4 linked regions of the Pelodiscus sinensis genome follow. The protein of the gene in region 1 interacts with the protein of each later gene in a pairwise test. Links are inferred from orthologs where the notes say so. Each region holds a gene or a part of one and is shown on either strand. Other genes may lie near its edges. The genes, in order: HOMER3, MOS, EAF1 and FRYL.

Evidence for each region.
Region 2: the proteins of HOMER3 (region 1) and MOS interact in binary tests that used the Homo sapiens proteins (3 or more experiments, as listed by UniProt). The two-hybrid records come from large-scale screens. The link is inferred for Pelodiscus sinensis from reciprocal best matches to the Homo sapiens genes HOMER3 and MOS.
Region 3: the proteins of HOMER3 (region 1) and EAF1 interact in binary tests that used the Homo sapiens proteins (3 or more experiments, as listed by UniProt). The two-hybrid records come from large-scale screens. The link is inferred for Pelodiscus sinensis from reciprocal best matches to the Homo sapiens genes HOMER3 and EAF1.
Region 4: the proteins of HOMER3 (region 1) and FRYL interact in binary tests that used the Homo sapiens proteins (3 or more experiments, as listed by UniProt). The two-hybrid records come from large-scale screens. The link is inferred for Pelodiscus sinensis from reciprocal best matches to the Homo sapiens genes HOMER3 and FRYL.

What each region holds. Positions count from the first base shown.
Region 1 is NC_134729.1:19,308,823-19,316,255, forward strand, and holds the start of HOMER3 (homer protein homolog 3), read left to right. Parts: upstream 1-4,415; 5' UTR 4,416-5,035; coding exon of another isoform or gene 5,036-5,040; intron 5,041-7,433. UniProt on the Homo sapiens protein: Postsynaptic density scaffolding protein. Binds and cross-links cytoplasmic regions of GRM1, GRM5, ITPR1, DNM3, RYR1, RYR2, SHANK1 and SHANK3.
Region 2 is NC_134712.1:64,407,322-64,414,081, reverse strand, and holds MOS (proto-oncogene serine/threonine-protein kinase mos), read right to left. Parts: upstream 1,903-6,760; 5' UTR 1,755-1,902; coding exon 705-1,754; 3' UTR 520-704; downstream 1-519.
Region 3 is NC_134712.1:181,743,934-181,751,418, reverse strand, and holds the start of EAF1 (ELL-associated factor 1), read right to left. Parts: upstream 3,005-7,485; 5' UTR 2,974-3,004; coding exon 2,871-2,973; intron 1-2,870. Other genes in the region: tRNA N(3)-cytidine methyltransferase METTL6, read left to right, coding at 4,256-4,537, 7,331-7,465. UniProt on the Homo sapiens protein: Acts as a transcriptional transactivator of ELL and ELL2 elongation activities.
Region 4 is NC_134715.1:87,080,003-87,087,762, forward strand, and holds the start of FRYL (protein furry homolog-like), read left to right. Parts: upstream 1-4,757; 5' UTR 4,758-5,308; coding exon 5,309-5,507; intron 5,508-7,760. UniProt on the Homo sapiens protein: Plays a key role in maintaining the integrity of polarized cell extensions during morphogenesis, regulates the actin cytoskeleton and plays a key role in patterning sensory neuron dendritic fields by promoting avoidance between homologous dendrites as well as by limiting dendritic branching.

The sequences.
Region 1 (7,433 bases):
TCTAAAATGTCATCTAAAATGTCTCAGTCTCCTTCTTTGGAGAACGGTCTGAGTTCTCCAGCAGTGAAATACCCAAAGAAATTGCTGTGCTCTCTTGCTCTCTCTGTCTGGTGCCAGAGGCATGCAAAGAATGATTGAATTCTACTGCTTCCTTTTCTCCTTCGAAACATATATATGGCTGCATCTAGACTGGCAAGTTTTTCCTCAAAAGCAACTGCTTTTGCAGAAAAACTTGCCAGCTGTCTACACTGGCCGCTTGAATTTGCGCAAGAACACTGATGATCTCATGTAATATTGTCAGTGTTCTTCCACAAACACTATGCTGCTCCCGTTCGGGAAACAGCCCTCTTGCACAAGAGGGCCTGTGTAGACAGCTAAAAACTGTTTTGCGCAAAAAAGTCCCGATGGCAAAAATGGCAATCAGGGCTTTCTTGCGCAAAACCGCGTCTAGATTGGCATGGACGCTTTTCCGCAAAAAGTGCTTTTGTGCAAAAGTGTCCGTGCCAATCTAGACGCTCTTTTCCACAAATGCTTTTAATGGAAAAACTTTTCCGTTAAAAGCATTTGTGGAAAATCATGCCAGTCTAGACGTAGCCATACAGTTTGCGTTCTCCAGTTCTCAAGTTGCCTTAGCAGCAGAAGTTTCCAGACTTAGGTTGAACCCACGTCTCCTGGGCAGGTGCTCTTTCCTGCCACACTACCACATCTGCTTAAAAAGATAATTGAAAAAGATGTCTAGAAACCAGGTGAATGCAGTCTAATGACCTATATAAATTACATAGAGAAAAGACCAAATTATTTGTTGTTTAAAGCTTCCTTCACACTACAGGTTAAAGTATTTTTACACTAACGCAGAATGCCAATCTCTCCTTTTGAATGCATCTTTTATTCCCTAAAACATCTATTTTACAACAAGGACCTCTATTTGCACACCAATTGTGGCCAGCTATTAAAATTTACTAAACATCCAACAATGCTCATGTTCCCAGATTTATATTTGGCAGTTTTGCAGGTGCTAATTAATAGCAGTTTGCACTTTTCAAGGAAAGAGCTAATGGTGGGACTAGCCATCAGCCTTTATTAAGTAATGGAGTTAGAGAGTAAGAAGATTTTACATAAAAAATGTAGAACTGAAAATGAGAAGGCTGAAGAGCTGCTGCAAAACCGTGATGCTAAGTCCTCTCTGATTGCAGTCACCCATTGTAGCAATGAAATGTAAAGAACTAGTTTGAAGGTATGTATCTTGGACAGTGAATGTGCTTTGAAAGGGATTATACTGCCATTAAGAATACCCTTTAAGTTTAGGCAGTGATCTGTTGTGTGCTCTTGTCTGTGTTCTCAGCCACTGTTTAAAGAGCTGTGGGAAGATTAATGGTGCAAACTTGACAATGGCTGGGTAATTAATGACATGAGGGGGGATGATCAAAATATCTAATTTCTGGTCTCTTCTGAAGGGCAGAAGATATTAATTGTCCTCCTTCAGCAGGAGAAGGCGCAAATGGAACAAAAACCCTGTTAAAGGACATCCTTACAAGGTTACTAACACCTGATTTTAGTGCAATTCCTGCTGATCTCATTACCCTAATTTTAACATGTAAAATAATTAGCTTCTAAGAAGAGCCAGAGATAACCTACTGTTAGCAGGTCAGTATGAAAAATACTGTGTGTCCTACTTTCAGCAGAGTCTTCAGTGGTTTATTGTAGTCCCTTTATCATTGGTGGCCAGGTTGTGTGTATGAAGACAGAGAAAATGGAGTAGAAGGAGTAAGGACCCAATTCATTCATGTCCTGGTGTTGAACTTGGCTCTGGGCCTGAGAGAGGAGGCAGTCTGGGAACTGCTGGTTAGTCTGCCAGCTCAAGTTAAGAGAGGCATCAGAAACTTTTCACCTGTTGCCACAAACTTTCTGACAGTGACTATTCAAGGGTCCACTTGCAAAATTTCAAAATGTTCCCATCAGTTCTAACACTTGTTCAGCTCCACTGGTGTCAAATGTTGGGAGCTCTGGCATAGAGGTATCATTGGTTTGCACTGCTATTTTAAGCATTGCATTATCTCACTTTTCTCAGAAAAGGTCTAGCTGTAGTTGACGTGATGGTTAAAACACTGGCACGTGCTTTGTCCCAGCACTGTGAATGCTGGTGACAAAGGATGAGGATTCTAGATACATTTGAAAGGCAGGTGGAGGGGATAATAGAGAGAGGAGGGGACCAGCATCAGTACTGTTGCAGTATCTAAAGGTCCGAATTAGGCACCTGGCTACATTATGCTAGGCACTCTGCACAAATATAACAAAAAGTCCCATGCCCCAAAGAGCTTACAGTCTTATCTAGGGAAAACCTCCTGTTTGTCATCCTTATATAAGCTCCATCTAAATACTGCTCAAAGAACAGCTGCTTTTCCTGAGTTTCCTGGGGAAATGACATGGGCACAGCTTATCATTATAGTGCAAGCCTGCAGTGCCCAGAAATTATGAGGGCATGGAAAGTAAAGTTCAGAACTGCCTGGAATTAATGCAAACTCTTTTCCTTATTAATGTGGGCGACCTAATAAAATACAAGCAAAAAATGAGATTGGACTCGTGCAGTAGCCACACATTTGAACACCACAGCCAATCTGCTCAGGTCAGGCCTGCTGTTAGACTAGTGGGAGGTTGAAACACCGTGGTAGTGCCTTTTGTGGGAGCCCTGTTTGTGGCATTGCTATAAATCAAGGCTGATTGGAAGAGCTGTGTTCATTGGGATGGGGAGAAGCCCAGGAATACTGTCTTGCTGCAGTAAATGTGAACATTTGCACAGCGGTTGCCTGCTCTAGTGAGTGCATGTGCTCACACACTCAGACCCAGGTACAAATGTAGCTGCCAGAATTTAATGGGCAAAGTATCTACAACAGACCATTGATTCTCCCCACCCCATCCACCTCCAGTGTAGCTGGTACTGTTCATGGCGAGATGTGATTGACTGATTTATGTTGGTCCCTAAGACAGAAAAACAGTGCCTTAAATTTTGCTGACATAATGTAGACTTACTGTAACTGTATGTTCCTTATTAACAACTTGGAGACAAATATATACCCTGTGTTGCTCTGCTTTGTGTCTTATCATTTGCAGTGGCACAAAGGAACAGGGGTCACCAAATTAAATTAACAGGTAGCAGGTTAAAAGCAAACAGGGAATTTTCTTCATGAAGCGCACAGTCAACCTGTGGAACTCCTTGCCAGAGGATATTGTGAAGACCAGGACTTTAACAGAGTTCAAAAAAGAACTAGATATAAATCCATCAATATTTATTAGCCAGAATGGGCAGGGACAGTGTCCCTAGCCTCTGTTTGTCAGGGGCTGGGAATGGATGACAGGAGAGGGATCATTTGAGGATTACCTGTTCTGTTCATTCCCTCTGGGGCATCTGACACTGGCCACTGTCGGAAGACAGGACACAAGGCTAGATGGACCTTTGGTCTGACCCAGTCTGGCCGTTCTTATGTAACGGGGATGTAAAATGTTGCCCTTCTAATCTGGTAGCATTTTGCACTGGCACAAATGATTGCAAAAGGTACAAGTCACCAGAGAGCTGAGCACATAATCATCCAACTATATAGGGCTATGCTCATCCCTGGTGTAATGCTGGGGAAGTCCGTGGACTTTCACCTGGGGAGGGTCTGGCCCATTGTGTTTGAACAGCACTCAGCACAATAGCGTCTCAGTTCTGATTAAAGCCTTGAGTATTCTCATAATAGGTATGTTTGCTGCAACTGCTAAGCTACTTATTATATGCATTAAGATATTTTTAATACCGTCTAATCTGTTTGCATCCTTGGGGCCTAGTGCTTCTGTTTGTCTGTCTCCATCTCTAGATTCTGGTGTGTTTATCCATCCAACCTTCCCTTTTGTTCATACATTTTCTCTAGAGGCCTCTGTCTTCATTGCTTCAAACCTAGTTCAGCTATTTTCACCTGTGCAAAGTGGATGTAAAATGTAACCAGATGTACATGCCAGTGTTTCGCACTCGCCCTGCACAGCTATAGATGTCAGTGCAAGGAACAGAGCAATAGTGGGATCAGGCACTGTCTTTCGGAAAGGTTCTGTCTCTAGGCTCAGATAAAAGGTGTCGGGTTTGTTTTTTAAAACGTGTGCCAACATGCTTGAAAATGCTAGTCTAGAAAGAGCAAATTGTATTTTAACATGGACTAGCTGACCAAACAACTTCCCTCCTAGTCTAGACAAACTCAGAGGCTGTGTCAGATTACAGCATAGGGGTCAAACCCTGGAAGAAAGCCCAGGAACGAAGGCGGTGGGAAGTGGGGTTGGGGCATCTTTGTGTGGTGCTGGTAATTTAGCTGCTTGGTGTTACTGTGGGTGCACAGTACAGCTGTGCCCAGCAGATGGTGCCTCTGAGCCAGATGGAACCCATTGGAAATAAAGTCAGGAGAAAGAAAGAGAAATGTGACCGAGATGGGGCAGTTGGCAGAGGCAGGAAGCGGATAAAAAAATGAGAGAGAGAGAACAAAGAAATCGCGATCGAGAGAGACAAACTGTGGACACAGCTTCACTTTTCGGGCTGTGGAAAAAACTTACAGAGCAACTCCGTCGCTGGAATAGGAGGGAGGCGGCATTATTGCAAAGGGTTAGCAAAAGGAGCAAATAATCTTGTGGCTGCTGCCCATGCTGAAGGGAAGAGGGGATCCCCGTCAGCAAGATCGAGGAAGAAACTGCCTGCCGGAGATTGCAACATTTCCGTAGCAAAGTGTGTTCCAAAGTTCTCTCTAGGATCTCCTGGGCTGTAGCTCTTGGTGGGGAGATCTCCCACCCAGGAAGGTTGCCCTAACTGTCACCCCTCCCGTGCATGCTTTGGGATTATAGGTCATTTTTGTTCAAACAACAAAACTAGCGGATTTCAAAGTGAAATTCCGGAGGAAATTTATAGAGCATCCGGATCCGGAGAAAGAGAAGAGGAAGGGAAAAATAAATAAAAACGTGGAGTGAATCTAACACGATCCAAGAAGAGACCAGGAAAAAAAAACCTGACACCGACTTGGAGATGGGGTGAGATTAGCAGTTTGGTGGTTGTGTTGTTTATTGTATTCATGATGTATAAAACGTGGTGTGTTTTTAATATAGCAGAGTCGAAGAGATCAGGATTTCCAATTGCAGTAAAGAAATTCAAGTTTACATATAAAAAAAGGCCCCTAACCTTTCGGGATTCAGGATGTAGATAGTTGCAGAGATTTGTAAATTACTTTGTGACCCAGGATGTGGCTGGAAGTCTCCAGGGGAATGCATATGTTGTATACAATTCAGAATGGCCCTTTGGGGTGACATAAAGGACCTACTGCCTTTGCAGATGTTTCCAGAAGTTAGAGATTTCTGATTTTGTTTTGCTCTTGTGACCTCGGTATTCAGTAAAATGGACCCAACTTACATTTCTAAGTGGGTAAATAGTGTGACTGAAAAATCTCTGATCATAACCCGTAAATTCTTTCGGGGTGAAATATATTCAATCAGGCACTGGCATAGAAATGGAAATGTAGCTTGATATTTGATTATGCACTGGTAATAACCCCAACTGTGTAATTTTAAGGATCTGGCATGCTGCTGTGAGTAAGTTGCTTGTGTAATGAACACTTCTGGGCTGCTAAGAAGCACGCTGGGGCTGGAGGAAGCCCCTGCCTGTTCAATTTCTCCAAGCCTTTGAGTTTGACATTAGAGGAGAAATAAGTAACAGTTTAGTGGTTTGTGTTTCTTTTGCTGGGTTTTTATTTCTCTCTTGGGCAGCCGGATAAAAAGACTGAACAGGGTGAAACCGATTCAGATGGCAGGAGGGACATAGATACGGATTCTGATCTCAGAGTCTCAGTGTGAACCTAGAGTAAATCTATTTAAGCCAGTGGCATTTATACTTGGCCAAGTTAGATCAGAAACAGTCCCCTGTTTCTTGCAACTGCTGTGGCTACACCCAGTGGCTATGCAATTTCTTTAGACGGGTGCCACTTCTCATGCATAATGTTGACGCTGCGGTCATTGTGAGGGTAGTTTTAGATTTTACTACAATGATAGCGTCAAGGCAGCAATGCTATAGTTCATGTGCAGATGACATTCCTCCCCGCCTGGTTTTCTGTCACAGAGAACTTCAGAGCTGGAAGGTCTTTGTCTTGTGCATAGATTTACATGGAAATGTTGAATAACCAGCAGCAGGTTTAGTCCCCTGGATTGCTAAGGGAGTAGGAAAGCGGTAGCTTTGAAATGATTTTCCACCAGTCAGTTTTAGTTGATTTGTATTTTAAGCTAGCGGTCAGTCGTTCCCACCCCCCTCCCTTTTGACTCTGAACACCTCATGTGGTCAGATTTCCTTGTAACCCTTGTCCCAGTAATATCCAGGGTGTAGCTTTCATGGATAATTCATTCCTGAACTCTAACATATCCCTGGTGTGTGTAGGTTTTGAAGCATTGCCTTTTCACCTTTAAATAGCTAGCTGTAAATGTCACTTGGGTCACAGGAGAAGTGAATTCATTTACCTCCTAGCTGTGTCCATACTGGGCATTTGGGTCCACATTTCAAACTAGCATCGGACAGGCTCCGGAAATGCTTAGTGTTGGCTGCTGGGCGTGTTTCGGGAGACCTGCCAGTGCTGTCCAGGAGCAATGCTGAAAACAGTGAAGTCAGAGCTAAAGTGCATTGGCAGAGCTGTGCAGGCTTCCATGTGTGTGCCCCTGTTGTACAACGACACATGAGCAGAAACGTGGTGGAGCCCAGTGGAGTGTTCACAGATGGTAAAGACTGGAGCAGCATTAGCAATAGGTGTCTGGTAGAAATGCTTAGCAATGCTGCTGGGCCTTTAAGTGCCCTGGTTCCCTTCCCCAGGCCTGAACTTGCATGCCTGGCATTGTGTTCCTCAGGCTAATCCGACTGGGGCATAATCAGCCAGGATTCCTCCGGAGCCTTTTATCTACAAACAGGCTGGGAGAGAGTCACTTTCAACCTTCATGCTGAGCTTTGCTGGTTAATTTCACCACCACAGTGGGTGGGAGCTTTCTAGGAGGGACAGGCTGCGCTGCTCCATTCATCCACAGGGATGGGGCCGGGTTGCGGGGAGGAGGCAGGGAGGACTGCAAGTCCTGTGTCTCTGCACCCCATCTGGCCACTCAGCTCACCATTGCATTCCCACAAAGTGGTGGTGTGCAGGATGGCTCGGAAGTGAGCTACAGAGCTAAGAGAGCTTGTGAGCCGGAAGAGAAGAGGCAGTATCTCTTCTGGTTAAAGCAAAAGGCTGGAAGTCAGAACTCCCTGGATAGCACTCCCAGATCAGGAAGGGCATGTGGTCTAGTGGCTAGAGCAGCCAGGCCCTTAAAGACCCGCTGGCTGAGCCCTGCAGAGACAGAGCAAATTGGGTTGTTAGCAAGCTACACCCTGTTCACTCACTCCCATGACTAACCCAGGA
Region 2 (6,760 bases), on another chromosome or scaffold:
GTCAGTTTATCTTTAAGAACTTAAATTGATGAAAAACCATCTTACTTTGTTGCCAGGGTGCTAAACAGGCACACAAGTGACCCAACATCCTTATTCCTAACTCATCACACATAAAATGAATTGACATTTGGGGAAGTGGAGGAAGAAAGGTTATCTTCAATGTCTGACTGTTCTCGGTACATCTACTTATAGGATGTATGATCCGTATCTGTTGGGAGAATTGGGAATGAGAAGGAAGGTTATCAATAGACAGATACATGAAGAGATTTTCAGAGGCAGTTGAAAATACTGCCTCCATCTCACATTTTGCAAATAGTTAGCTAGATTGTTACAAGATGCCTATCACTCTGGTCTGAGGCATTTATAAAAATGCTTTTTGGTGGCTTAACAGTCATACTTCACCCCTCAAATACCATAGTTCAAAACCAAAATTCTGTTTTCTCCTGGGCAAGGCAGATGATATAGCAGACACATTTTGGACAGTCCTGCCTCTATGTATTTCCTCAACACTGACCAAGCTAATTTTAATCACTTTATTTATAGAAATCTCAATCAACAGGTACATTTTTTTTAACCTCTTTGGACAAAATAGAGGTCAGATCCACAATATGCTAATGCAGCCACACACACACACACAAAAAGGATCAAGAGAAAAGCCAGGCATAAAAGGGAAAAAGAAGAAGAAAGAGACACCACAGAACCTGCTATTGTCTATCTTGCAGTGAATGGAGGCTTTGAAGCAGCATTTCTGCACTGGGACGTTCCTCTGCATCAGATCTCCAGCAACTACTGATAATGGTCTCAAGTCTTTGGCCTGAGACTGTCTCAGAGAAGATTGCAGCAGCCAGAGAAGGACGCAAGTTATAGGCTACCACCGCATAGAGCACATATTGGCGCTCACCCGAGTAAGGCTGCTCACGGGTAACCATTTGCCAGAAGGTGATAGCAAAAGAATAAATGTCTGCTTTGGGTGTGACCCTCTCCCCTTTGAGAAGCTCAGGGGCACGGTGGGTATATGTGCCCCCCTGCTGGCAAAGCTGGGGACCTGGGGACACACTATTCTCCAACTTTTGGGAGCACCCAAAGTCTCCGATCTTGCACACACCCTGCTCAGTGATGAACACATTAGCAGGCTTCAGGTCCAGGTGCACAATGCATTGTGAGTGGAGGAAGGCTAAACCAGTCACAATGTCAGAGCAATAAGCCAGGGAGTCAGTTATGCTTAGGGGTTCTCTGCCACACCCATCCCATTCATCCTCTCCCTTTCCCCGCAGGCAGCCCATACCATAGATGACATGGTGGAGGGTAGTGCGGCCAGTATATTCCATGATTATGGTGCCCAGGCTGTCTTGGCTGGCAGGAGCACAGGTGCTGGCAGCTACAACACGTACCACATTGTCATGGAGGAGGCGGGCCACATTCAGTTCAGCCCAGAAACTTTGCCGTGATGCCAGCCGGTTTTTGCTGCACTTCTTCACCTGCTTCACAGCCACCGTCTCCCCACGGTAAGTAGCCTTGTAGACGGCCCCAAAGCCCCCAGAGCCCAAGGGGTGTAGTAGGCACAATTGATCCCAGTCTATAGAGCACCATGCCAGGCGGGGAGGCAGCCGACGAGCCCTCGGCGGCGGAGTTCCCCCCAAGAAGAGTTTTCCGCCTCTACCAGGGAGTACCAGGGGACTACTGCAGGGCCTCAGGTCCAGAGAAGGGGAAAACTCCAGGGAAAGAAAACTATTAAGAGGGCTAGGGGATGGCATAGTGAGATAGGAATAAGAACAAGAGCTGTATTTAAAAACAAAGAAAGAATGGCTAAGAGCCTCCTGAAAAAGAGGAACAAAGTAGTTGTTTCCAGAGCCTCTTTTATTCCCCCTCCTCTCTCCTCCCAAATAAGCTGCATCTGTCACCAAGTACCTGAACCCCAATCAGTTTCAGCTGCAAACACTTTTCTCCAACTCCAAAAGCAAATTCCACTCGAATCAAGGCTTTTAAAGAAAGCTCTTTGATACAAATGGGATTTAGGCTAAAATATGTCAACTCACATTATGAGATACTGGCCTTTTGTATTCATTTTTCTTCCCAGGAGAAAATGTTACTTCAAGTACCCCCAACTGACTGTCATTAGAAAATATCCCATGAGTGAATGGACTACAGTGACCAAGTAAAATGTTTCACTGTTGGCAAGAATGATAGTCACCAGGTGCATTAAACACCTCTCAGTTATTACTGGAGGAAGCAGTTGAAACTGAGAAAGCCAATACTGAGAAGTCTGTTAAGAGAATGATTGGTGGCAAAGATGGCTTCCCTATTTGTGAAATTACCTTTCCCTTCTCATGTCCTACTTGGTTAGTAAAGCCACTTTTGAGCTCATGATACAAGATAAGAGGCTGGTGCCCACTGACCTCAGTGGAAATATTTTCATTCAAAATATCCTAATGCTATGTCTTTGGGGCATGCTGCAAAGCCTGTCATTTTTTCCTGCTTTTGGTGAGGGACAATTATGATGATGGTGAAAGGGTGCAATGTGAGAAAGGAATAGGAATCTAGATTTTGTTGGGGAATTATAGATGTCGATAATAGTGCATTTAAAAAGTGTCAGGGCACCCTAGAATAGGGATCCCCACACTGTCAGCTTCCAGGGCCATACCACTCAGTCTTGCTCTAAGGGCAGAGCAGATTATAGAAAATGTCATTTTTTAACATAAATCTAAAGGGGGTAAGAGACTTTTTCCTACCCTAAAGAGCTTATAGATAATATAGACAAGACAGCAGAGGGTGAAAGTTGTGGGTATGATGAGGCAGAAGTGTGCATGATGAAGTAGATAGGAGCTTGGGGGGAAAAGCAAGAGGGGAGGAAGAGGCAGTGGAAAAGTAGGGAGAAGATGAAGTGTGAAGCAGCATGTGGCCAGGAGAAAGAGAATGGAGAAGTCTCTCTTACAGACTTAGTTTTGTCTTTGCTGCATCAAGTCCTGGAGTGTGCTTTATCTGTAGATGTGCGTACGTGCTTGTTGTGATTACGTTCCTTGGGAGACCATCATGTTCTACCACTGCAGTTCTATAGGCCAGTGAAAACAGTGTTTGCACCAAGAGCAATATATCCTGAAAGACAAGTGGCCCAGTGGTTAAAACAAGGATGGGCAACCTTGTTTGGGTCAGGGGCTGCTGACCCACAAAAAAGTCAGTCAGGGGGCTTCACACAAGTGAGAAGCGGAAAAAAACCACCTCTCATTGAGGCGGTCCCCAATGGGAAAGGGTTCTCCACATTTCCCTTGCACACCAGAGCCTTGCGGGAGGAGAGGGGGGACGACAGTCTAGTAGATTTTGTGCGCTCCAGCCCTTTTGAATGCTGCATGAGAGGTTTGGAGGATTATATAAAGGAATATTTAAATTAAGAACTGGTGCTGTCAAATGATTAAAAATATTAAACGTGATTCATTATGCTGTTAAACAGTAATAGAATACTGTTTATTTAAATATTTTGAATCTTTTCTACATTTTTAAATAGGTTGATTTGAATTAAAACACAGAATACAAAGAGTACAGTGATCACTATATTTATCTTTGATTACATACTGATGCTGTAAAAACAAAATAGTATTTTTCAGTTCATCTCATACAAATACTGTAGTTCAGTCTCTTTATCATGAAAATTCAATTTACAAATGTAGAATCATATATAAAAACTGCACTCAAAAAGAAAACAATGTAAAACTTTAGAGCCTACAAGTCCACTCAGTCCTACTTCTTGTCCAGTCAAGCACTCAGACAAACAAGTTTGTTTACAATTGCAGGAGATAATGCTGCCCACTTCTTGTTTACAGTGTCACTTGAAAGTGAAAACAGGCATTCTCATGGCACTATCATAGCTGATTTTATAAGATATTTACATGCCAGATGCACTAAGGATTCATTTGCTTCATGCTTCCACCATCTTTCCACAGGACATGAATCCATGCTGACGATGGGTTCTGCTTGACAATGATCCAAAGCAATGTGGCCTGATGCATGTTCACTTTCATCAGATGCTACCAGCAGAAGACTGATTTTCTTTTGGGGGGGCGATCGCAGGGGGGTGCATAGTGCAGTATTGCTCTGCACCTTGTCCCTTTCTGATTTTGGAAGGTACTTCAGATTCTTAAACCTTGAGTTGAGTGCTGTAGCTATCCTTAGAAATCTCACATTGGTACTTTTTTTGCATGTCAAATCTGCAGTGAAAGTGTTCTTAAAACAATCATGTGCTGGGTCATCATCCAAGACTGCTATTACATGAAATACATGGCAGAATTCATGTAAAACAGAGTAGGAGACATACAATTCTCCCCCAAGGAGTTCAGTCAATATTTAATTTAACACTTTTTTTTTTAAACAAGCATCGCCAGAATGGAGACATATCCTCTGGGATGGTGACTGAAGCAGGAAGGGACATTAGTGTATCTGGCGCATAAATACCTGGCAACCCCAGCTACAAAAGGGCCCTATAAACACCTGTTCTCACTTTCAGGCAACATTGTAAATAAGAAGTGTGCAGCATTGTCTCCTATAAATGTAAACAAACTTGTTTGTCTTAGCGATTGGCTAAACAAGAAATAAGACTGAATGGACTTGTAGGCTTTAAAGTGTATGTACATTTTGTTTCGGGTTTGAGTGCAGTTATTTAACAAAAAATCTACATCTGTAAGTTACTCTTTGACGATAAAGAGATTGCAGGAACTGAATGAACTAAGTTGAACTTGTATGAACTGAAAACTATTTCTTTATAATTTTTACAATGCAAATGTTTGTAATAAAATAATATAAAGTGAGCAGTTCTGTATTGTAACTGAAATCAATATATCAAAAATATTTAATAAACATCAATTGGTATTCTATTGTTTAAGTGTGATTAAAAGAGATTAGTCAATTATTTTTTAATCACATGCATTAACGGCCCTATTAAGAATATTCTCTATCTCAGCAATGAGAATTTCCCCTCTCATGTTATTCTTCCACTCCCCCCCCCCCATCTCCATGTTTCTGTTTTTTGGAGGTACTTAATGGCCACATCATGTTGAACTCAAAAGTCACTGCAGGCATGCAACACCTTTCTAAAAAACAAACAAACAAACAAGCAAAACTCGAACTTTTGGTTTTTGTGCTAGGAAAAGCATTAGCCTGAGGAACAGGAGGAATAACTTAAAGGGCACCGTCAACTGGAATTTCTTTACATCAACTCATTTAAACACAGTCCACTTTCTGGTTAAGCACCTTTCAAACAGTGCACTATTTTCTCTCTGTTATCCTTTTCAAAGTGATTTTATAAGGGATTTTCTGCTCTGATGTTGATGATTCAGGTCTTTCCACCTCCACTAACTTCTCCAATTTGCAGTTGTCATCGGTGTCACTTGCTTGTAGCGATGTTAGAGAACTATGTTTTCCACATTTTTTATGTTCCTTCATCTCTAAACATGAACACACAGAGAAAGCAACTTGTATGTCTTTATAAGTGTTTGTTCTATTGGATTTTGGTAATAAAAGCATATAAGGTTAAACTCTTTAGGTCCTAAAATGTGTCTTCTATTAAGGAAACTAATTCTTGTGCATGACAGCAGTTGCAGGGGAAGGAAGGGGGAAATGAAGCAGAATTTTTAAAAAGGGAAACAGATTTTTAATAGTTTTGATTTTCGTATAACACAATTAACACTGCACAATACATTACACAACACATTACTGAAGAGTGTCTTTTTATATTTAATGCACCAAGCCCCTCATTGTTGGGGGTTCTCAGTTACCCAAGTTCAGAAGAGAGAAAGAGATGCACTAGCAGGAATGTGCGTTGAACCATTTTCTGTATCTGGTGTCATGATCCTTATTGACCAGGAGGGGGTGCACTCCCCTTTATTTAATAAAATTCCCAGTACAGCAGTTCTACTTTATCCCATGCAATTCCACCTTACATAGCAACCTATGCATGTGAAAAGGAAATACAACCAGACCACCAACAAATGGCTGCTTCTTCTAGTCACACAAAACAGAGAGGAAGCTGCATCAACTGAAAAGCATCAATGAAACGTCAGCTTGATGTTTGAATGACTCTTGAAATGTCATTAGGACCAGATACATAACAAGAGATTTTAAAGTCAGGGTTGTATAGTTCCCCTTTAAAATGACAATATTGTAAAGTGCGTCCTATTACACGAGAGTTGCAGTATAACACAGGTGAAATAACTATAGCAAGATTTTTTACATCTGCAAGGTCAATCCTTAAGTGCAATATTTTTAAAAAGCAACAAATGATACTGCATTTGATGCTCACACAAACCTCCTTTAAGAATGAGCAAGAGTTCCAAGTGCAAAGGGAATGCAGGATCAGCCCCAATGAACACTGGAGTTTATCCTATCATATCTAATGTTTATAAATTTATTTTATTATTACAATTAAATTCTGACAATGTTCTTGTTGCTGTACAAGACAAACAGCAAATAAATAGTCCCAGTCCAGCAGAGCTTACATTACAGTCTAAACAACAGACCCAGATAAAACATGAAACACTAGTGATTCTATAGTTATCAGCAAATATATTTTTTAAAATGATCAAATGTCCTCTCTCTGGGTAGTGATGGAATTTTATTAATATGCACTAGTGTTGGTGGGTGTAGAGAAGTACTTAAGATGAATTTGAAATATTTTAAGCCTCAAACAAATTAGTACAAAATTGACATTTAGAATTCAGACAATTTGTGTATGGTTTGTTGTATTTTCCCCCCAAAGAATTCTCTCTCCATTTCT
Region 3 (7,485 bases), on another chromosome or scaffold:
GGCAGGGCGGAGCAGAGCAGCTGGGGTGCTGCCTGGAGCTGAACAGGGGGGTGAGCGGTGGCGTTGCGGGATCAACCCGGCAGCACCCCAGCAGCTCTGCTCTGTCACTTGTCAGTTTCAGCAGCGGCAGTGGCAGACTTGGGGAAGGGGCCATGGATCCTGGTCACGTGCCACCTAAGACACTGCATATATGCTAAGAAGCATATAAAACTGTCCAAGTACTATAGAACCTCACAGCCAAGAGATGATGAAAATGAGTTTTTGGATGTTATAAAGGAGAGAAGAATTTTGGTCTATAAGATCTTACAGTGGTATGCCGGAAGGAGGGAAAATCAGTATAACTGATCCCAGGTTAAATTTTCAGGTCCAGTGGTCACAAAAAATATTCTAGTTTAGAAAGTGCATAATCTGATCTGAAGCTATTTCAGACTATGACTACATTCTAAATACTTCAAAAGCTGTAGTTTCTCCTGAAGATATGATCCACTGTCTTCATCCTTTCAGATATTGTCCTTTAAAGTGACTTATAAGCAAGTGAGAATGATACAACCCCAATGTATTTTTAGCTGTATACTTCTAGGACTTCTATCACTAGAAGAGCCTAATTTTGCTCATTTGAGGTAATGGTGGGTATATTTTTGAATCTTTGAATTACAAATCTTTCTCTATATATAAAAAAGATTTTCCTGCTGGATGACAGAATGCTCCTGCTGGGTGACAAAATGACATAATCAGCGTCAACAAGCTCTCTAAGCAAAGCAAAAGTAGCCAGAGAGAGGGGGGTAGGAGAGCGCAGCGAGCAGAGGGTGTAGCCCCCTAGTAAAAACTTGTTTCAAATATGTTATTGCTAGATAAGGCTATCTGCCATTTACAGAGGCTCCCAGGCTCCAGCTCCCACCAGTTAAACATAAATGATAAAACATTCACATCCCTAATAGTAAGAGGCAAAAAAGAGCAAAAGTAGACTATTTTCCCCAACAGAGAAGCTTGAAGCACTCTGAGAAAATAGAATCATAGGATATTAGGACTGGAAGGGACCTCAAGAGGTCATCGACTCCAGTCTTCTGCCCTCATGACAGTACCCAGTACTATAGACCATCCCTGAAAGACATTTATCTAACCTACTCTTAAATATCTCCAGAGATGGAGATTCCACAACCTCCCTAGGCAATTTATTCCAGCGTTTAACCACCATTACAGTTAGGAACTTTTCCTAATGTCCAACCTAAACCTTGCTTGCTGCAGTTTAAGCCCATTACTTCTTGTTCTATCCTCAGAGGCCAGGAAGAACAATTTTTCTCCCTCCTCCTTGTGAAACCTTGTCAAACCGCTATCATGTCCCCTCTCAATCTTCTCTTTTACAAACTAAACAAGCTCAGTTCTTTCAGTCTTCCTTCATAGGTCATGTTCTCTAGGCCTTTAATCATTCTTGTTGCTCTTCTCTGGACCTTCTCCAATTTCTCCACATCTGTCTTGAAATGTGGTGTCCAGAACTGGATACAATATTCCAACTGAGGCCTAATCAGTGCAGAGTAGAGCAGAAGAATGACTTCTCCTGTCTTGCTCACAACCCACTTGTTAATGCATCCTAGAATCATGTTTGCTTTTTTTGCAACATCACACTGTTGACTCATATTTAGTTTGTGGTCCACTATAACCCCTACATCACTTTCTGCAGTACTCCTTCCTAGGCAGTCGCTTCCCATTCTGTATGTGTGAAACTGATTGTTCCTTCCTAAGTGGAGCACTTTGCATTTGTCCTTATTAAACTTCATCCCTGTTTACCTCAGACCATTTCCCCAATTTGTCCAGATCATTTTGAATTATGACCCTAACCTCCAAAGCAGTTGCAACCCCTCCCAGCTTTGTGGTATCTGCAAACTTAGCTATCAAACTTGGTATCATCTGAAAACTTTCAAAACTCATCTTCCAGACTGGCTAAATATTACTCATCCAGAGATAGAGGCTTCCTCCTGGAGGGAATAGGGGACAACATGTTGTGCTCTTTACATTGTATTGAAGGATTCTGATAGACATTTCAATAAATCTTAAGAAACTGGGTGGCTGTGGTTTCCCTCTTTCAGACTCTCTCAGGTGAAACCATAGTCCTGCATCTTTCACAGTATAATATTTAAACTGATACATCATCTGATCTGACATTCACTAAGAAGCTCGCTGCCCTCTGTGCGCATGCGCTCTCCCCTTCCCATAATTTTGAGTTACTTTCAGATTAACCTCACTTTATTCCCCCCCTCCCTCTAAATTTGTAACGGAAAGTTGCTGCTTTCCACAGAACTGGCAAGAACCTAGGAAAGGGGAGCAGAGAGAGTGGAGGGGGAGCTGGTAAGGGGTGTGCGCAAGAGTTGGGGTGGTGGCAGGGGAAACTGGAGAGTGAGGGGCTAGGGCTCAGAGAGGATTTAGGGGAGCTGGGTAGGTTAAGGAGGAAGATACATGGGGGGGGGTAAGGAATGTAAGCAACTAGTTGACTACCGAAAAAGCCTAGGCTTATATCAGAGGCACCAAGGGATGGGGGGGGGGGGGTAGCAGGAGCCGTGCTGGGGGCAGCAAACCTAAAAGCCGTTCCCCCAGCACCGTCTCCGCGGAGGGGCAGAGGCAGGCGAGGGTGAAGGTGGGAGCAGGGATGGACGCAGCGCCCACGCCACAGGGTCCCCGCTGCGCCTCTTCCTTCCAATCGGGCAAGAGCCGCCGGGGGAGGGCGGCGCCCCCTGAGCGACTAGCCCAGTCCCGATGGAAATTCCATCGACTACTCGATTAGCGGATTAATCGAACGTGACACTGGGGGGGGGGGGTGCGGGGGCGGGGCGAGTCCCGGGGCGGGGCGGGGTGCCCGCGAGGGGGGGGGCGCTCACAGCGGATGGTGTGGAACGAGGCCTTGGGCCGCCGCTCGAAGCTCTCGCCCAGCTGCAGCGCGTGCTCCTCCTTGTCCAGCAGCGGGTTCGCCGAGCCGTTCATGCCCCCGCCACGCCGGATCCCCCGCCCGCCCCGCTCCGCTCCCTTCCGGGGCCGCGTGTCACCGCCAAAGCCGTCCGGCCCGGCCTACGCCCCGCCCCGCCCCGCGCGGGTAGGAACCGGGAGAGGGGGCGGAGTTTGGGGCAAGACTCGGTGTCCGCGCTAGGAGAGCGGGAGGGGCTGTTTGGGGAGGCGGGGGGGGTCTCGTACAGGGAGGGGCTGTCTGGGGGGGCGGGCGAGGGGGGGTCTGTACAGGGAGGGGCTGTTTGGGGGGGGCGGACGAGGGGGGTCTGTACAGGGAGGGGCTGTTTGGGGAGGCGGGGGGGGGTCTCGTACAGGGAGGGGCTGTCTGGGGGGGCGGGCGAGGGGGGGTCTGTACAGGGAGGGGCTGTTTGGGGAGGCGGGCGGGGGGGTCTCTGGTACAGGGAGGGGCTGTCTGGGGAGGCGGGGGGGGTCTCGTACAGGGAGGGGCTGTTTGGGGGGGCGGACGAGGGGGGTCTGTACAGGGAGGGGCTGTTTGGGGGGGCGGGCGAGGGGGGGTCTGTACAGGGAGGGGCTGTTTGGGGAGGCGGGCGGGGGGGTCTCTGTACAGGGAGGGGCTGTTTGGGGGGGCGGGCGAGGGGGGTCTCTGGTACAGGGAGGGGCTGTTTGGGGAGGCGGGCGGGGGGGTCTCTGTACAGGGAGGGGCTGTTTGGGGAGGCGGGCGGGGGGGTCTCTGTACAGGGAGGGGCTGTTTGGGGGGGCGGGCGAGGGGGGTCTCTGGTACAGGGAGGGGCTGTTTGGGGAGGCGGGCGGGGGGTCTCTGTACAGGGAGGGGCTGTTTGGGGAGGCGGGCGGGGGGGGTCTCTGTACAGGGAGGGGCTGTTTGGGGGGGCGGGCGAGGGGGGTCTCTGGTACAGGGAGGGGCTGTTTGGGGAGGCGGGCGGGGGGGTCTCTGTACAGGGAGGGGCTGTTTGGGGAGGCGGGCGGGGGGGTCTCTGTACAGGGAGGGGCTGTTTGGGGAGGCGGGCGGGGGGGTCTCTGTACAGGGAGGGGCTGTTTGGGGAGGCGGGCGGGGGGGTCTCTGGTACAGGGTGGGTTTGGGGAAGGAAGTGGGGGACGGCTGCCTGGGGGGAGAGGTTGGGGAGGAGTCTCTGGTACAGGAACTGCAAACTATAATTCTTTTCTCATTGTTTCTTATGTTTCCAGGTTGTCTGATCTGAAATGAAAGATGGCAATAAATACATGAGGGGGGAAAAAACCACTTTAAATCTGTTGTGTTTGTATTCCTGTGGATTAATCCAGGATGTCCCAAGAAAATACATCTGATAATTATGTGAATTCAGTATCTCCAATTTGTGAAGATGATGCTTTCCAAAAGAAAGGGCATAGTGCAAGGACCCTTAGCTCTGAAGAAGCTGAGAAACTGGCAAGAGAGCAAGTTTTGGTGTCTGACTTCAAAAAACTGAAACTAGAGAAGGAGGCACAGAAGAACTGGGATCTGTTTTACAAAAGAAACAGCACAAACTTCTTTAAAGATCGGCATTGGACAACTAGGGAGTTTGAAGATTTAAAAGCATGTCGGGAGGTGAGCCATATACACTAATTCTACAAATAAAGGAACAAATACTACTAATGAAGTAGACATACCCCAAGTGCACAATGTTGTGGAGTTGATAGCTTCCATGACTTTTAAGATATAAAAAAATTGAAGAGTTTTTTGATTGGTCCTTTCATCCTGTTTTCCCCTCCCTGTCTCCAAGAGGAGGCACCGTCAAGACCCAACTGAAAGTTTCAAAAGTTAAAAAAACCAAAACCTATTACAAAATCTTTGAATAATATATTATAATTGATCTGTATTTTACATTCAGACCCACTCTCTAGACCAGTGGATCCCAAACGTTTCCTATTGTGCCTCCCCTTACCAGTAATCGAATTTGTCCACACTCTCTCTCTACCCCACATTACTGCATCATTGACTCAGCAGAGGAGCTTGGGTGGAAGGCAAAATTGGGGGCAGCATTGGAAAGGGGAAAGGACCTTGAGGCTACAGCCAGACATGGTTTAGGATTGGAGAGGGAATCGGACAGAGCTGGGCCAGGAGTGGGAGTGGAGCTTGGACCACGGGTATGGCTGTGGGGGAAGCCAGGAGCAGCAGCTGTGGCTAGGAATGGAGGCTGGGGCAGAGTTTGGAGACTGACCCATCCTTACCTATACTTAGAATACACAGATGTGTAGAGTACCTGAAAATTTGGGTCACCACTGGTTCTTAATGTCTACCCACTGCCTCCTCCTATTCCTCTTCTGTGGCTCTACTTCTTCCATAGAGGATATAGTTCACTTAAAAGTGAAAAAGCATGTCAGACCTACTAGCAGCACATTGAACCTGTGAAAGAGCCATTCAGATAATAATGAAGCCATTAAATAGGCATTTGCCAACCCCAGGTATATACTAGAGATGTAAAATCCCACTTAATCAGTTAAACATTAGGTTAGCCTAACATTTAATTGGTTATTTGACTAAAGTGAGATCAGGGCTGGGGACCACTGCAGCCTGGCTGGCGCAGCCCCCAGCCTACAGGGCTCCCACTCCCAGCATCATACTGGGTCTGGATCTGCCAGCTCACTACCCCTGCACATGGGCTGGGGCTGATGCTGACACCCAGCCCTCACAGAGCAGCTCTGCTTGTGGGATGCCCGAGCTCCTCAGAGGCTACTCTGGACAACCCCTGCCTGTGGGGCGCCTGGCTCCCCCATGGACAGAGGCTTCTGCGGATGCTGGAACAGTCCCTGCCTGTGGGGTGCCTGGGCTCCCCATGAACAGGGACTGCTCCCCGACTGTGTCCACGATGGGCCCCCGGTGGGGTTGGAGCAGCTCCCTGCCCACAACAGATGGGGAGCTACTCCTGCCCCCCAATTTAGGGTGATGCTTCCCAGTTAACTGGTTAAACTTCCACATCCCTAGTATGTACTGTCAGGTTCTGAATGTACTGTGTGAGTCTATAGAACGACTACTCAACACACAGCCCATGGCCTGTATGTTTGCGGCCTGCAGTGCAGTTTTGGTTTACGCGGGGCTCAACACGTGGCCTGCAGGTGGGAATCTTTGAACATGACCTCCACTGGGAACACGCTCCACAATGGCAAGGCGTCTGCCAGGTGGGGTGAGCATTGAAAGATGCAAGCGGACGGGCTGGCGTTTCTAGCCCCCAGGGAGGAGGTGCCGGGAGTCCTGGGGAATGTGGGAAGTGCTTTGTATTCATGCCAACCCGTGTGAAAGAAGCAATTTGCATGTATAAGCAACGACACTTAAGTTGCGGCCCTCGGCATGTGCTGTATTATTGTGGCCTCTGAGGCTTCCAAAGTTGAGTAGCCCTGGTCTACAGGATCTTGGTTTAAAATTTTCTATAAAAATATGTTAGTGTGCTGCTGAAGATTTTAAAACCATGTGTCTAAAGAAATCTCCCTCCCCAAATGCTGTTGGGCATAGAGACACCAGTTTAATAGTACTGTATAGGGCCCCATAAATCCTAAGTATGGCCCTGGTTGGAGAGGAGCTGGGGAGCTGAGTAAGGCAGTGTGATGCTCTCTCCTCAACTCACCTGGGACCTGCCATATGTTGCTCTGCAATCTTTATGGAGTTGAACGCCACAGTTTGGGAACCACTGCTCTAGAACACTTGCTTAGTGTCCTAAATTAGATCTAAGATCCTCTCTCTCTCTCTCTCTCTCTCTCTCTTTTCCAACACAAGTTGCTCAAAATTTTGCACCCTGTTACAAAGTTGACTATCTAGAATAGTCAAAGCATTAAAATATACATTTAAAAAAATCATATTCAAATGCATTTGTTCACCCTTTTTACAAAAGGGCCAGGGCATAGAGGAAAGCATACAGGAGACCCTCGTGATTCGCGGAATTGCTCTCTGGGGTTCCGCATATTCATGGGGTCTCCATTCCTGACCTGAAGGGGATGGTGTGATCAAGAGCTGTGGGGAACTCGCTGAGGTGCCGGGAGCCATGGTGAGTTTCCTGTTAGGGAGCCACGGGGAGCTTCCCCCAGGAGCCAGGGTCCATAGCTCCCAGTATTTGCAAATTTCGCCATTTGTATATACCACGAATGGTGAGGGTTTCTGCTAATTTGATCACTGCTGAAATGAGTAGATCAATAATGAGTTTTTAGTAGTTTCTAAAGAGAAACTTACTGTGATCTAAATGAAAGCCTATACTTTGCTGTGCCCTTTGCGAGTGACAGGTTCCATCAGATTTTAGACGGATAATTGAAATGCTGATCCTAACTTTAAAGTGTGAAAAGTGGTATCTTCGTAATATAAAGATCAAACACAAGTGACATGCTGTATCCTTGGCCTCTTTCTCCCATATAGTTTGAAGATGAGAAACTGACCATGCTTGAAGCAGGCTGTGGGGTTGGAAATTGCTTGTTTCCACTTTTAGAAGAGGACTTGAATATCTTTGCTTATGCCTGTGATTTCTCTCCAAGAGCTGTTGAATATGTAAAGGTTGGTGTGATATTTATTTG
Region 4 (7,760 bases), on another chromosome or scaffold:
AGTACTGTGTCCAGTTCTGGGCACCACATTTCAAGAAAGATGTGGAGAAATTGGAAAGGGTACAGAGAGGAGCGACAAGAATTATTAAAGGTTTAGAGAACATGACCTATGAAGCCAGGCTTCATGAACTGGGCTTGTTTAGTTTGGAAAAAAGAAGATTAAGGGGGGACATAATAGCGTTTTCAAATATCTAAAAGGGTGTCACAAGGAGGAAGGAGAAAATTAGTTCCTCTTGGTTTCTGAGGACAGGACAAGGAGTAATGGGCTTAAAGTGCAGCAAGGGAGGTTTAGATTGGACATTAGGAAAAAATTCCTAACTGTCAGGGTGGTCAAATATTGGAATAAATTGCCAAGGGAGGTGGTGGAATCTCCCTCTCTGGAGATATTTAAGAACAGGTTAGATAGACATCTGTCAGGGATGGTGTAGACGGAGCTTGGTCCTGCCTTGAGGGCGGGGGGCTGGACTCGATGACCTCTCGAGGTCCCTTCCAGTCCTAATCATGATTCTATGATTCTATGTATATTTATTAAATGCGGTAACACTGACTATTTGAAAGAGGATATAGATGTTGAGAAGGTTCTGGTTTTTTTGGTTCAACTGTGATAATTATTTTCATTCATTTTAGATTGTAAATACAGGCAGTCCCCGGGTTACGTACAAGATAGGGACTGTAGGTTTGTTCTTAAGTTGAATCTGTATGTAAGTTGGAACTGGCGTCAGCCGCTGCTGAAACTGATCAGTTTCAACCGTGGCTGAATCTGGATGCCAGTTCTGACTTACATACGGATTCAACTTAAGAAACCCAGGCGTCCCCAAGTCAGCTGCTGCTGAAACTGATCAGCGGCTGATTCCAGGAAGCCTGGGGCAGAGCAACTCTGCCTCGGGCTTCCTGTAGTCAGCCGCTGGTCAGTTTCAGCAGCGGCTGACTTGGGGACGCCTGGGACAGAGCAGCTGGGGTGCTGCTGGGTTGCTCCAGTAGCGCGGCTCCTCGGCGCTACTGGAGCAACCCAGCAGCACCCCAGCTGCTCTGCCCCAGGCATCCTGATTCAGCCGCTGCTGAAACTGACCAGCAGCGGCTGAATCAGGATGCCTGGGGCAGAGCAGCTGGGGTGCTGCCGGGTTGGTCCGGAGCGCCGAGGAGCCGCGCTACTGGGGTAGACAAGAAAAGCCTGGTCTGCGGAGGAGGGGGGGGCACTAGCTGCACCCCCCCCCCCCAGCAGACCAGGGAGACGGGGGTGGCGGGACCGCCCAAGTCCTCCACGGCTTTGCTCCGTCTCCCTGGTCTGCTGACCTAGGAGATGCGGCTGTCCCGCTGCGGGCGTGCTCCGCGGCTTTGCTCCTGTCCCCCTGGTCTGCTGGGGGGGGTCCAGCGGCTTTGCTGGACCCCCCCAGCAGACCAGGGAGACCGGGTGAAGCTTTTCTCGCCCCGGAGGACACGGGTGGCGACCCGCCGCCCGTGAGCTCCGGGGCGAGAAAAGCCCCGTTCGTAAGTGGGGATCCGACATAAGTCGGATCCGCGTAAGTCGGGGACTGCCTGTATATAGCTAAGGAAATCCTAGGTGCTTTTATCTTTTGAAGAATGCAGGTACAATTTAAATATTAACATTTCAAAGGTTTCCTGGGACAAGTCTACAAAGAAGCCCAAGTTCTGTAGCAGTGGTTCTCAATCAGAAGTTTGTGTACTCTTGGGGGCACACAGAGGCCTTCCAGGAAAGGTACATCAACTCATCTATGTATTTACCTAGTTTTACAACAGGCTCCCCATCCCCCAACTTGTTCCATTTTTTTATCCTACTTTTGACTCCCTCCACCAGTTATTTAGGATCCCTCCCTGTGTCCTTCCATACCCCTTATGTGTTCTTTGCCTATACCCTACTGTATTTCATCTTTTAGAAGTCAGTTCTCTTTCTCCTAAATTGCAATGCAAGAGCTTAAATGGGGGGAGGAAGGGAAATCAGGGATGCTCTCCCAAATTCCACTTGTGCCAAATCAATTTCCTGTAATACCTTTTGAGAGATGTTACTGTATTAAGATCTTGCTGTATCATTATGGGTTGGGATTGTATGTAATTCTAAGGGAGAGAACAGTCTGGTGATTAGGCAAATTGGCTCAGTTTGTAACATCCTCAGAGAAGTACCACCACCTGGAGATTCTCTCATATATTATAGTACATACTGGATTCTCCAGAGCGCAACAGAAAAAGAAAAAACTGTTGAATAAGTAGCCTGAGTTTCAGCTGATTCTGATTCAGCAAACAGAACCTTCTGTGCCAGAAGGTCCCCAAATCCTTGCAGAAGTATTGGAAAATTTGATTTAGGAAGGCCACAAAACAGATGATGCATGGAAAGCTTTTTAGTATGTGTGTAGGTTTTCATTGTTTTTAATGTTTTTCCTGCAATGCTTTCAGTTTAATAAATGTGCTAGCTTAGAAAAAGCTGTGTGGCAGCCTATAACTGCAGGCAGTGTGGTGGTTATAGCCACTGGGGAGAGAACCAATAGGAAGATGTTTGCCTTTTATACAGTTGGCTTTTTTTATGCAGTCCTCTCCTGACAGGAAAAACAGAAATCCTCCATTAGTCTTAGCTTTATACCTCATAGTTTTAGTTAGTTTGACCTTTTTCAATGTTCACTTTGTTTCCGGGGGGGAAAAAACCCGGCACCCACCGTGGTGGCGCAGCTTTTTGTCTCTGCGACAATGCCAGGTTCTCCTGGCTTCAAAAAATGTGATTCATGCAGAGACTCAATGCCTACCTCAGAGGGCTATGCCTCATGTGTCAAATACCTGGCAGAGTCTCAAGTGGCGCAAAAGTGCCCTTGTTGCCTGAATATGACGGCAAGGGCCAGAAAAGACTCTGAAACATGGCTCAAGACTATTCTCTAGGAAAACTCTCTTCAGTTACCAAGGAACAAACTAGATGAGATGCCAGCACAGCAAAAGCTCTCGGGTAGGGCAGCTTCCTCACCCCACAAAGGCTCTCAACACCGGCACGCTCCCTGTTCGAGCTGCCTAGAGCCTCTCATTCCCTGATGCCACCAGTCTCTGGTACCATGGAGAAACGCAAGTCAGTGCCAGTCAGGAGAGCTGAGGCACAAATTAAGACTGCCACATCAACTGGTGCCATTGAGGTAGCAGCTTCAGATAAGCTGCATATGCCTCCTCCATCAGCTCCGGTGAACTCTCCCTCTGCACCCAATCTAACTGGGCAGAGTGATTTTGACTGCTCTATGGCACCGCAGCACAAGAAAGCGCTGCACAAAACGTGGCACTTATAAAAATCTCCTCAGCCTGAATCAAGAGGAGTAACTGCCTCACCATGCTCCATGGCGCAGGGGCACGCTAACACTTCAGAGTGGCCCCAACTTGCCTACACCACTATCTCCAAGATCTGATTATGGTAGCGGGCATAGGAGCAGGCTCTCATCACGCCATTCCTCTCCTTCTCTATCACTAACTTCCTGGAATTCATACAGGAATCACTCCCTTCAACCACATCCTATTTGGCCCAGCCAACCATGGATGTTTCCTCCACATCAGCTCCTACCTCAGTGGAGCCCGTGGGATACATGGCATGGATATCAACCGTGGTCCTCCCACACTTACCATTCAAGGCACATAGCCTCTACATCTCAGCAACACCGCACCTCCAGGCGCTCATCCACAATCTCTGATTGCTCCTCACCTGCTTACCTGCCCTCAGTAATTTCTCAGGCAGGTTCCAGTGAGTATGACAACTTACTTCAATCAGATTCAGAGACCTCATCACATAAACCCCGATCCAGGCAGGTGGAAGCAGTATTCCAGATTTCATATTCTCCCCTGTCAGATGGGTGGAGTGGGCAAGGGCTGCATGTAACCTTGCATGTTACCCGATTAGCCCAGGCTCATTTGTTAACCATGTAAACAGTTACGCTTAGTAGAGGGCATGCAAGTAAACAGAATGGTCATCCTGCTTTGGTCATCCTAAGTAGCAAGCAAAGCAATGTGGGCTACCAGGTGACAGACACGGCAAGTGCACATCAGTTGTTTTGAGATGGGGATGCATTTACACCTACTTTGCTGCATGTAAGTTCATCCCACATCTCTATAAACTCACTTCAAGTGGCTTTTATAAAACCTACTAAAACACCAAATGATTTTATCAAAAAATAATTTTGTGGACACAAGGCAACTTAATGTGAAATAGCTCAAATTAATCTGCAATAGTTTCCAAGTATAGCTAACACCTTAGTTTTAGTTATTTGGTAATATCTGTATAATCCGTTATTACATTGTGAAACCCAGAAGTCAGTAGGTTTTATTTTATGTAGCCTATTTTGTATGATTTACTGTGTGAGAATTTCTGTGAGGACTAATTTTAAAGGCAAGTTTGAGGGGAAAAAAGATAAAATAAAATACATTATAAAATAGTTTTGTGTACTTAAAATTAGAATTTTCGTGGGCGAGATAATTTTGTTAATCAGGGTTTGAAAATACAGCTTGGCGCCTGAGCTGCTTTTTGTCAGTAAAATCTGCTTCTAAAAATGTCTAGTCTGATCATTAATAGACATTCAAAACAAGAAGCAATGTACAAATAATTCTTGAATGTTGTGGTATTTTCTTCATAGTCACAAATGGGGTAAAAACCAACTTCACTTGTGTGTTTATAGATCTCTAATTTTAGTTTTAAATGGTTTGATGTCTTTAATTATTTGCTGATTTTTATTCCCAAATGTAAAAGCGTGGAATAAAGAATAAGAGGTTTTTCTGTGTGGTAGCATAAGCAAATGTTAATGCACCATTTGCAAAGCTGTTCAAGAATGTAATTTGTTCAAAGCATGGAATATTTGAGCTGTTAGTAACTCTGTTTGTAAAGCTGAGAAATGGGTTTCTAAATGATAACACTTATCTGTGAATGCAGAAGTATGTGCCTCCCTGTGCACTTAATTGAAATGAAGAGCTAATTAACTGTCAAAATAAATTTGCATTTTTAGATGTTTTATAACATTTTGGTTTAAAATCATGGTAGTGTTAAATATGTTTTTGTTTTGTGGCAGTTGATCAACTCTTGTATATTCCAGTAACTTAATTGCTTATTTTGTTTTGTTATCAGTCTGTACAGTAAACTGTCTTTGAAATCAGCCTGCCAGCAGCTGGCAGCTGACCTGCTGGTTTTGGCACCACCCAGGTTCAGCATGACATCACTGTGTAAAGTAGCTCAAGTAGTCCACCTTACTGATTCTTCAAGGAAGTTTGTACAAGCACCTGGGTGTGTGTTATGTAGCTAGTCTAATTCGTGTTGGGGAAAGTAGACGGAACAAAACAAAAAAATGGACTTTTTAAAAAAAGTAGTTCCTGCTGTAATTTCTGGAGATGTGGTACTGGATATTGGAAATACTGTTGGAAGTTCCCCAAGGCTATTGAAGATGAGACGTGTCAGCCTGTTTTCGTTAGGGCAGACTATAGATGAAGAAGATCAGATAGATTTCTCACCTTCAAATTACAGCATGTATCCACAGCACCAACTTGGTAAAGTAAAACTTCATTAACTATTGTAAACTTTTTCTCTGATGAAATAATCTGAATTGTTGTTGAGTATTAGAAAAGGCTTTTTTTCAGAAAGCCATTACGATTGTGGATGTTTTTCTTCTGTTTTAATCTATAGTTTCAAAAGTGTTTAAACCAATAGTTAATATTTTGTGAAATTGTTTAAATAATATCATAATTAAGGGTGTATTGTGTGAGTATATTACACATGTGCATGTGACTTTTAACTTAAGACGAACATCCATTTTCAAAATAAGGGTTTGGAACATAAAATGTGGCCCTGATCCTGAACTAGGAGATGCACAGGATTCCCATGGCCTTTGGTAGAGATCTATGTGTATGTAGGGGTCAGCTTACATGATTCTCAGTGCAGAATTCTATCCTTATACCACTTTTGTAAACTTTGTATTTTGTGTGCTTTCATGCTATTAAAGTCTCTTCTAAAGTATTTTTTAATATATTTTTTTAATGTTTTTACTTGAATAGTATGTGGACTAGTCCAAATTTCTTAAAAACATAAAGAATAGTTTACAACGTACTGATTTTTCTGTTGTGTATAGAACAACTGTAAAGTTGAATCATATTTCTTTTATATCCTTTAAAAACCTGATTTGTTCATAAAATTATATACAAAAAGATTTTCCACAGTACACATGCAACATGTTGATCGGTGTTTAAACATTATGCATTTTATGTTTTTTTAGAGATTAAATAAATTTTATTTACGTAGCTGTTTCAGAGGGTATATGGTTGAAGATTAGTTTTGGGAAGCAATTCAGGGCTTGATGACTCTTTCTAAAGCTCTAAACGGTCTAGGACCCAGCTGGTTATCACTCTTTTTTTTAGCTTCTCCCTCATTCCTGGTCATAGCAGTTGCAATCAGCTGCAATGCTCTGTGCTGTTCAATCCCAAGGGTTGAATTTCTAGGGGTGACAGTACCCTCTGATTGTAGGGTCCTCTGCTCTGAAATTTACCTCTTTTTGTGTTGTTTCCCCCCCCCCCAAAGCCTTTCAGACATAGTGTAAAATACTGGTTTGGCTTTAAAAAAAAAAAAAAAAAAAGTTACCTTGTGTTGGTGGATGGAAGCTAAGAATCAATTTTTTGTTTTGTTGGCCAAATTGTAAAAGTGTGTAATAAATTTGAATATATCGCTTGCTGTACATGTAACGTCATCAGCCATTGATAACTTATTAAAGGGTAAAATTCTCTTCCTGTTACGGTTGCCAGATGGTTTCAACAAAAATACCGGACACACTTGATATTACATCACAATCTACATTACATCTTATTTAGAAAATACTGGATATTTATATTTTCTCAATTTGTTTCCCAATCAGAAAGCTCAAATACTGGACTGTCCAGTTCAAAACCGGACACTTGGCAACCCTGCTTCCTGTTGCCAGCATGCTTAAGGATAACTCACTGGAAGTTCTTTTTTGAATGCTGATCCTATCAGTATTCACTGTGGGTGTGCTTATGCTCTATGTTCCTAGGGCCAGAAACTTATAGCAGCATTTATTGGTCCAAACCTGGGCCCTTCTTTTTTCCTGGAGCTCTAAACTGAGGACATAAGGGATGGCACAGTGCAATCACCTCTCCAGTTCTTTTCTATTGCTTGTAATCTGGGATGGAATCCTTCCATGTGTGGCATTCTAGCTTTTAGCTCTTCTGCCTGTTTGTATTTTGCAAATAATTTTTATTAGCTATATTCATAGTAGTGAGTTTGTGGATAGTAGGAATCATGGGCTTCGTCCTGTTCCCTCACTGTTTGAGGCACTTTAGAATGCCCAAGACTTCTAGGCCTGCCTGGCTTGTACGTGGGTCTTCCTGGTTAGTGATCAACACAAGAGCTGATTGTACTGCTTTGGGGAATAAAGATTGTATCCGACTGAGAGATCTGCCACTCGTATCCTCCTTGCCCTAGAGGCAGTCTTGTAAATTTCAGAATCCATAGGCATGAGGCGCGGTCTTGCCTTGGACTCTGCTACACTTCGTCTTATTATCTGGAACCTTCAGACACTGTATTTGCAGCACCAACATCTTCTAACTTGGGATCATCTAGATCTACGTTTCTCCTTGTCCTCTTCATGTCTCCATGTCATGGAAACATCCTCTTAAAAAGAGAGACAGTTTACTTTTTAAGATGTTTCAACTGGTGCCTGTTCCCTTCCTGCAGCACCTGTTGAGACTCTGTATCTTGAATTGTTGTGTTCAGAACTCCAGGGAAGCTGAGAC